Coturnix japonica: one gene and its partner. The protein of the gene in region 1 purifies or fractionates together with the protein of each later gene. This does not show direct contact. Links are inferred from orthologs where the notes say so. Each region holds a gene or a part of one and is shown on either strand. Other genes may lie near its edges.

The links.
Region 2: the proteins of KLF11 (region 1) and SIN3A purify together in Homo sapiens (affinity purification with western blotting, with the first as the bait; 3 studies listed by BioGRID). This does not show direct contact. The link is inferred for Coturnix japonica from reciprocal best matches to the Homo sapiens genes KLF11 and SIN3A.

What each region holds. Positions count from the first base shown.
Region 1 is NC_029518.1:88,047,000-88,050,748, reverse strand, and holds part of KLF11 (Krueppel-like factor 11), read right to left. Parts: coding exon 3,057-3,749; intron 1,391-3,056; coding exon 1,068-1,390; 3' UTR 1-1,067. UniProt on the Homo sapiens protein: Transcription factor. Activates the epsilon- and gamma-globin gene promoters and, to a much lower degree, the beta-globin gene and represses promoters containing SP1-like binding inhibiting cell growth.
Region 2 is NC_029525.1:1,969,200-1,972,848, forward strand, and holds part of SIN3A (paired amphipathic helix protein Sin3a), read right to left. Parts: coding exon 3,583-3,649; intron 2,657-3,582; coding exon 2,540-2,656; intron 1,844-2,539; coding exon 1,605-1,843; intron 689-1,604; coding exon 505-688; intron 91-504; coding exon 1-90. UniProt on the Homo sapiens protein: Acts as a transcriptional repressor. Corepressor for REST. Interacts with MXI1 to repress MYC responsive genes and antagonize MYC oncogenic activities. Also interacts with MXD1-MAX heterodimers to repress transcription by tethering SIN3A to DNA.

The sequences.
Region 1 (3,749 bases):
GATGCGGGTCATCAAAAGCCTGGAATAATTTTCTATGAGGTGCATCAGCATCCACAATGCGTAAACCTCATGTTCTATTTCTCCTGTATTTAAAACAAAATGCAAACACGGACCCAGCTAATTGCTCACACCTTATCCTGCCATTTTTGCTACCTTTCAGTAGACTTTAATACTCTGATTTTGTGGGGCTGAAAGTAAAGCGTCGTTTTTAGTGTCAAAGCTGCTGAACAGCATCTGTGCTTCTACATCCAGCAGAGCAGCCTGGCTCCCCAGTGCTTTGCTTGGGCAGAGTGGGGACCCAGGAACACGCAGTGTGTCAAGCTTTCCTAGTAGCCACAACAGCTTCCACTTGCAATAAGCATGAACTGATGCAGTGCTGAGGATTCCAACACTTCATTTCTGAAAGTCATTCTAGGGTGGTTTTGTTGGGTTGGTTTTGAGCTCGCTGTTATCTCAAACTATCCAACATCCAACGGCAGCTGCACAAGGAGGATCTAACAGCACCCATCTACTGCAGGACCAGAATCCAGAAGCGTGAAATCCCCAGCACCGCATTTCTGAGCATTACACGCTCACACAATGCACCGAATGCATTTGGTTGGGCTTACAGGAAAGCAGCTCCCAAAGCCCCGGGTTTCATCCTGCACAACTCTACTAACGCAGGGCAAGTCAGCCTGCATACAAAGATCCAAAGGAATAAATACAAAATATATTTGGTATAGAAAACACTAGTATCAAAAATTAAAAATCACCCTGTTGCACTGTCCATCCAAATATTAACAGCAAGCAATGCGCGTTGACTTGTTTAAACCTATTGACTTGTTTAAACCTATTGCCAAAATCATTTCAAAAGAGTCCTGCCTTCCTGAAGTGCTGGTGATTGCATCCGCCCAAACATCCAACACACAAACAAAAGGATGAGGACACAGCATCCATTTCTCCCCTAGCATTATTAACTACAATGAAGGGAACCCAAGTATGTACAAACAAACACGCTGAGGGGGTGAAGAGGGCCGTGCTGTCAGTCCTGTTGTAGCCAGCAGAGCTCTGTGCGACTCATAGTAAGTTTAGAGGAGGTGCTTTGTCCCGCTGCCCTGGCAGACGGATGGCACAGGGATGAGCATACTCAGAGCGCCGCTGCCTTTCGGTTTCTCGGTCGTGGCGATTCTGTTCAGTTTGCCCAGCTCCGTCTGCCAGCTGGGGACCTTCTTGGTGGCCATGTGGCGCCGCGTGTGCTTGGTCAGGTGGTCGCTGCGCATGAAGCGCCGCTCGCACACGGGACAGGCAAACTTCTTCTCTCCCGTGTGAGTTCTGCGGTGCCGCGACAGTTCGTCCGAGCGGGCAAACTTCTTGTCACAGCCTTCCCAGCTGCAGCTGAAGGGCTTTTCTCCTGTGGAATGTGAAAGGAAGAGAGCTCCCATTAAGCTGTGTCTTACCACAGAGCTGTGTCCTTTTGTTTAAAGAAAAGCAACTTCACCAAAACCTGATCCCTGAGACCATCCTTCCTACGTGGCCACAGCTCTATGAGCACTACACATCATGAGCAAATGCTGTGGGTAAAAAGAAAAGCTGGACTTCAAGCTCCCTGCAGCACTCCCTCCATCCCTTCCTGCTCAAGTGACCTGCACACCCATGCAACACATCAGACAGCCCACGTGCCCAGAGACCCAGACTCCTACAGGAGCTCTGGATGCCAAGGAAGGAGAGCAGCCAGGAAGGCTTTCAGCAGCAGTTTCTCGTGCTGGATGACTGCTTAACATCACACCCGTCCTAAACAATGTCATCTGCTGACTGCAGCCCCCATAGACCTCAAGAAAAACAAGATAAACATCTACTCTTTACCATCAATCTGGGAAACTCTTTGGAGTCAAACAAAAAGTCCAGCAGAAAAGATGCAGCACAGCAGCTGCGTTCTTACTGCAGATGGCAAGCGAGGCTCGGTGTGCACGATGCCCACATAGCTGCTCAGTGAGTGGGATGAAGCAGGAAAAGCAAGTTGCTGCTGCTCTGCACACTGATGCTGCACAGCAGGATGGCAAGTGATGGGACCGCGTGCTTCCCCAGCCACGGGTGCTCATCTTAACATCATAGCAGACACAACTTCCCTGGTGGGTCAGCAGCAGTACGTGCCAAGGGAGAGGTCTGCTGCCACAGACCAGAAGCAGAACCACCATTCTGCCTCTGAGCTCCAGTTTACAAGGATTATCAGCTTCATACAGAGCTTAAGCTCTGTTCTCATAGGAACTGTACAGACAAGCTGGCAAATTGGTGCACATCCTGCCATGGAACCACAGAGGGTGGCGGAAATAAGCAAAGGGAAAACAAATGAAGACATTTAGATGAGCTCTTCTTTATCAATCACCTGCTGTGCTCGTTCCTCAACATCAGAAACAGCCCCTGCCAAGAACTCAGCCTTTAGTTTTGATTTAACGGGATCTGAGAGTTGAAAAGAGAACAGATAGAGCACATTTACACTGCCTCTATGCTAACCAGATGTTATGGAACAAATCACAGTGATTATAACTAACTTACAGTTACCTAACGTAAAACTAGTTACATCCCTGCAGGAGCTCGACTTCCTAACACTGTGGCCCAAAATCTTAACACACACCTATTTAGCCTGGCCAAAACTCTAGGAATTCTAATCGTAGTGGTACTGGTCGTATTGGAATGTTCCTTTTCTTTCATTCACATGCAAACTAAGAACAACTACCTGCACTGTGGATAGCTCACACCAGAGCCCTCCACGCTCAAAATAAAGACTTGCACAATTCTCTGCAATCCAGTCCAGCTGGCAGAGTTCCACTCCAATCTAAACACATGCACACAGAGGGCAAAGCTTTGCTCCAACTAAAGCATGTGAAACTCAACCAACGCTACGGGGTCGGCTGAGGTCTCAGAACAAAGTCTGTTTTGTTTTGCTTGCCCGTGGAGAATGAGCATTCTGCTCCTCTCCCAGATGAGCACAAGATCCCTGACCACCTGCCCCTTTCCTTTCCCACCCGCTGCCACGCACCCTTGAGCACCCCAACGACAGCTCACCCCACGTTACACACCAGTGTGGGTACGAAGGTGGGCTTTGAGGTGGGAGCTCTTGAAATAGGTTTTCTTGCACCCGGGGAAGATGCAAACGTAATTCCTCCGTCTCGAAAAGTCCATCTGGGGGGCGCAGCTTTGACCAGAAGCGATGAACACGGGGGCAGGAGCGAGGGGCAGGAGCTTGGTGTTCCCAACAGTCATTACTGTTTGCGGGCACTGCGGCGTCGGTGCGACAGCAGTCTGTGGAAGAACCAACATGACGGTCCCCTGAGGCACAGAAGATCCCACGAGCACGGGCTGAGAAAGCGGAGCTGTCTGCGGTAAAATAGGTTTCATGGGAGCCGAGATGGTTGGAGCTGAAGGTTTGACATAGGCATTAATCACACCGCTCTGTCCGCTCAAAGGGATCATTTGACAGAGGACCTGGGGGCTCGACACAGGGACCGGTGTCACTGGGGTAGCTCTTGTTTGCAAGTCATCCTCGCAACTCTTTGGTAAGTGGGTCTGTGGAGAAACAGGTCGGGCTGGAAGCTGTGCCTTGCTGGGCACCACATCACTGCAGTCAGCCGCACACGGCTGGTGCACTGGGGAGGCCTTGTTAATTAAAGCATCGGCAGCACACGTGTCCTGTGACAGGCTGGAATGGCTTCGGTCCTCAGCTCCACGCTGCTCCCCTGAAGTCCCACAGCCTGGAGCTGCCTTTGCCTTCT
Region 2 (3,649 bases), on another chromosome or scaffold:
ATCCTCCAGGATCTGCTTGTCTTCATAGGCCAACGAGAGGTGTGGGCCTGTGGGAACCCCAGCATTGTCTTCTGAAGCCTGCTCTTGCCTCTACAAGTGAGAAACAAGACACAAATTAGTTCCACACGCACCTTCCTTTGCCCACAAATCTTCAGAAAGCTCTCCCAACGACACAGACTTCCTCTCTCATTACACCCCCTCGCAACAGAGGAAGCACCAGGCCTCCCTCCCACTGCTGCCAGAAGGCTCTCTGCGACAGATGCCAGAAGTTCACAAACATTCCTCCTGTTTACAAACCTTCTCCACCCCGTTTCTGTTCTAGAAATGGAGCCCACCTGCTACCAGCAGGATGACAAGCCTCCAACACAAGCAGATATCCCAACACGGAGAGCACAGCCCTTCCACAGCGAGCATCTCACTTCCCAACCACACCAGCACCAAAAGGAAAGGAACTAAAACTGCACATGCAGACTATATAAGCTTGAGGGAAGGAAACCATCTTACCTCATCATAGATGCTTTCAATCTCATTGAGGAGACTCTTTGACCTTAGGACCTTGGTATCGTTCTGCTTGAAGTTGATGCCCTGGTGGTCCAATGACTTCAGATAATACTTCTCATTCTGCTCTCGCCAGACTTTATTAAATCCTCTCTGGGCTTCTCGCCACTCTTCCTCTTTCATCTTTAACCTTGGATCAAGAAAGCAACGGTGAGATAAGAGACATAAAGGTCTCTGAGCTTGTAAGGAAAGCCTGAGACTTGGGAAATGTGCATCAATGACAGCAGTCCCACTGAGAGGAGTGTTACAAGAGCAGCACTCCGCACACCCTTTGCCAAACAAAGCCCCCTGCACACCTCTGGATACCTGAGCTTCCTGGGAACACACTCCAGAACCTCAGCTCAGTATCTCAAGCAAAGCACCTGGTGCAGCACAGCCAGAGCACTTCACAGAGCAGTATCCTGCAGCAGGGTGGGCACGCTGTGACCTTGCAGGTACTGGTGGCAAAGTGGTTTCCCTCCCCAGAGACAGTATAAGCTTTGTGGGGGGAAATGTACCTCCTTTAAGTGGTGCTACAGTTGTGCTTTTAGAGAACACTTCCTTGTTTATACACCGAGAGGATAAGGACAGCACATTACTGTATTAAATGTGTAAACAGCCTCCTCCTTAAACAACTCCAATGAGCTGCAGCCCCCACTCCTTTTTTTGTGTGATCTGTTGCAGGGAGCTGACAAAAGGAAACTAATGAGGATCCAGGCCTGAGCAGCCAGAGCTCACAGCCTCGCACAGCCATGGGATTTGGAAAGGGATCGTATTCAGCCCTGAACAATCCACATGGCACAGCTGCCTCATCTTACATACAAAGCTATGCAAAGGCTGAAGAAGAAACAAGGTTCAGAGGAGACAATAAAAGCTCTGCATCCCCCCCAGCTGAGCATTTGTGTTTCAAAAGGTGACTGTTATAAAACACAGTGACCGATCAGAATGGAATGCCTTTCTCAAATTGCATCCCTGTGCAGGTCAGACCCTCCAGGGGCAGAAATCAGCTACTTCTACATAAAGGTGGACCAAGGCAGAGCCCCCAGGGTACAGTGTCAGCGTGGTACCTTTTCAGGACTATGGGAACAGCAACAGATGGGTTCTTCCTGAGCCCATCAATGATGTCGGCTGCTTTGTCTGCATATATCCTCTGCAGGGCCTTGCGGTGGATCACCTCCGAGGTGCCTCCCAGGGTGTTGTCCAGCCGGAACTTGGCCTGCTCCTCAGCAGACAAGCGTGAGAGTTTCTTCTGGATGGCCTCAAGGACGCGAATCGTTGCCAGGTTGGTCTCCAAGACAACGTCCAGCTGAAGCGAACAGTGCGTTAGCCAGAGTTGAATAGATAAAACATGATACTTCACAGACTAACACTAAAGCGACATGAAACAAGAAGCCGGGCGTGTTTAACAAGGTGGATTTCAGAACTGGTTTCCACGTTTGGCTGCGCTGAAATAATCCAATTATATTTTATCTGCAGCCCAAGTAATGGCGTGTCAGAATTTAACGTCTACCAGAACGATGCTGTTAGGAAATTACATCTTCCATATGGGAGTAGAAAACAATTGACAGTTCCTCTACAAAAGGACATGACAGATCTGAGCACATTCAGGTAATTGCCAAGCCAGCTCCCATTTTAAGTCAAGAAGTCAATTATTTAACATCCTGAACGTATCGTTTCTTGGATTATTACAGGGGAATGTGTTCTTACAAGCTATGCGGGCATAAAGGGCTAAGAAGATGCATTGATTATATGCTGTCCATTGAACAATTCCATCTGAAGTGACGTGAGAGAAGAGCTCGGTGCACAGAGCTTGGGAAAGGGGTGGTAGCTTGGAGAGATACATGGTTACCCCAACGCTGCCTTTTGCTTTCAGATAATGCAAGCTCTTACGCAGAGAACATGCAACAGACAATAAGAACAGACTGTACGAAGCAGCATTAAGGATAGAATTAAATCAGTAGCTATTCACAGAACCCCAAGGCTTCCAAGGAAAACAACTTACCTCAAAACGCTCATCTTCACACCTGTAGATGTGCTCTTCGTATTGCGTCTTCTTGGAGCTGACAAAAGTTGAGTCTTCAGACCAGGAAGGGAATGAGACCCAGGTGTCATTCAAAACCTTGCAGTACGACAGAGAAAGACAAGCATCACAGTCAGTCTTGGGAGGGGAGTGTCACAGAGATGCTTGGCTGCTGATGGAGGAGCAGCAAAAATTGCTTCTCCCTTCCACTGCAGAGGATGCCCAGCACCCACAGGGCAACCTCTAACAGCCAGAGATGAAACAACCCAGCGGTCTGGAAAACTCATCCATTGGAAATGTAAGAAAAGACTTGGAAGGGAAGAGAGAAAGAGAGATGAAAGGAACCTTTCCGATCCATTGGAAGAACTGGCTCACTGTGGTTCACTCATCCCACGTCTGATTCACCACTGACAGCACCAGGTGGTCATAATGCTAACCATGACCAATGGACACAACGTGGTTTCTACCTCCAAATGAGACTCAGTAGGAGCATCAATCCATAACCCAGCAACGCCTTTCCTGACTAAAGATGCTGAGAACCTCCAAAGCAGGAATGGATCATCCAAAAAAACCTCAAAGAGACCAAAGGCAACAGAACAAAAGCTTCTGGTAGGTGATCTTGAAAAATCAAGCCTCATTTTCCTCAACCTGAAGCCTGAACAACCAAGACATTAAAATCTTGCAGAAAGAAAAGTTTACAGCTGCATCACACAAGATACTTCTGAGATACATGTTAGGACTTAGATTAAAAACTTACAGTTCTTTCTTGCCTGGGTTGTTTTCACTATCCTGCCATCCAATTAACCACATATCACTGCTCACTGCTTGACTTGATCACCTGCATTCATCCTCATTTCTCAAGGAAAAGAGGCAAAACTGGGATGCTCCATAATCTTCTGCCTGTTTGTTCTCCCCATTGACAGCAGTCACCCAGGAAGGGGGCTTCCAACACCGGCAAAGGAGCAGGATCAGTCAGCACCACTCCTCTCCAACCAAAAGGTGGATACATGAAAGGAGCTGCTTACCTCTTTACACAGTGGCGTCCGCCCCGTGCACTTGGGCTGCTGGTAGCTCTTGGGCAAGGCGCGGTAG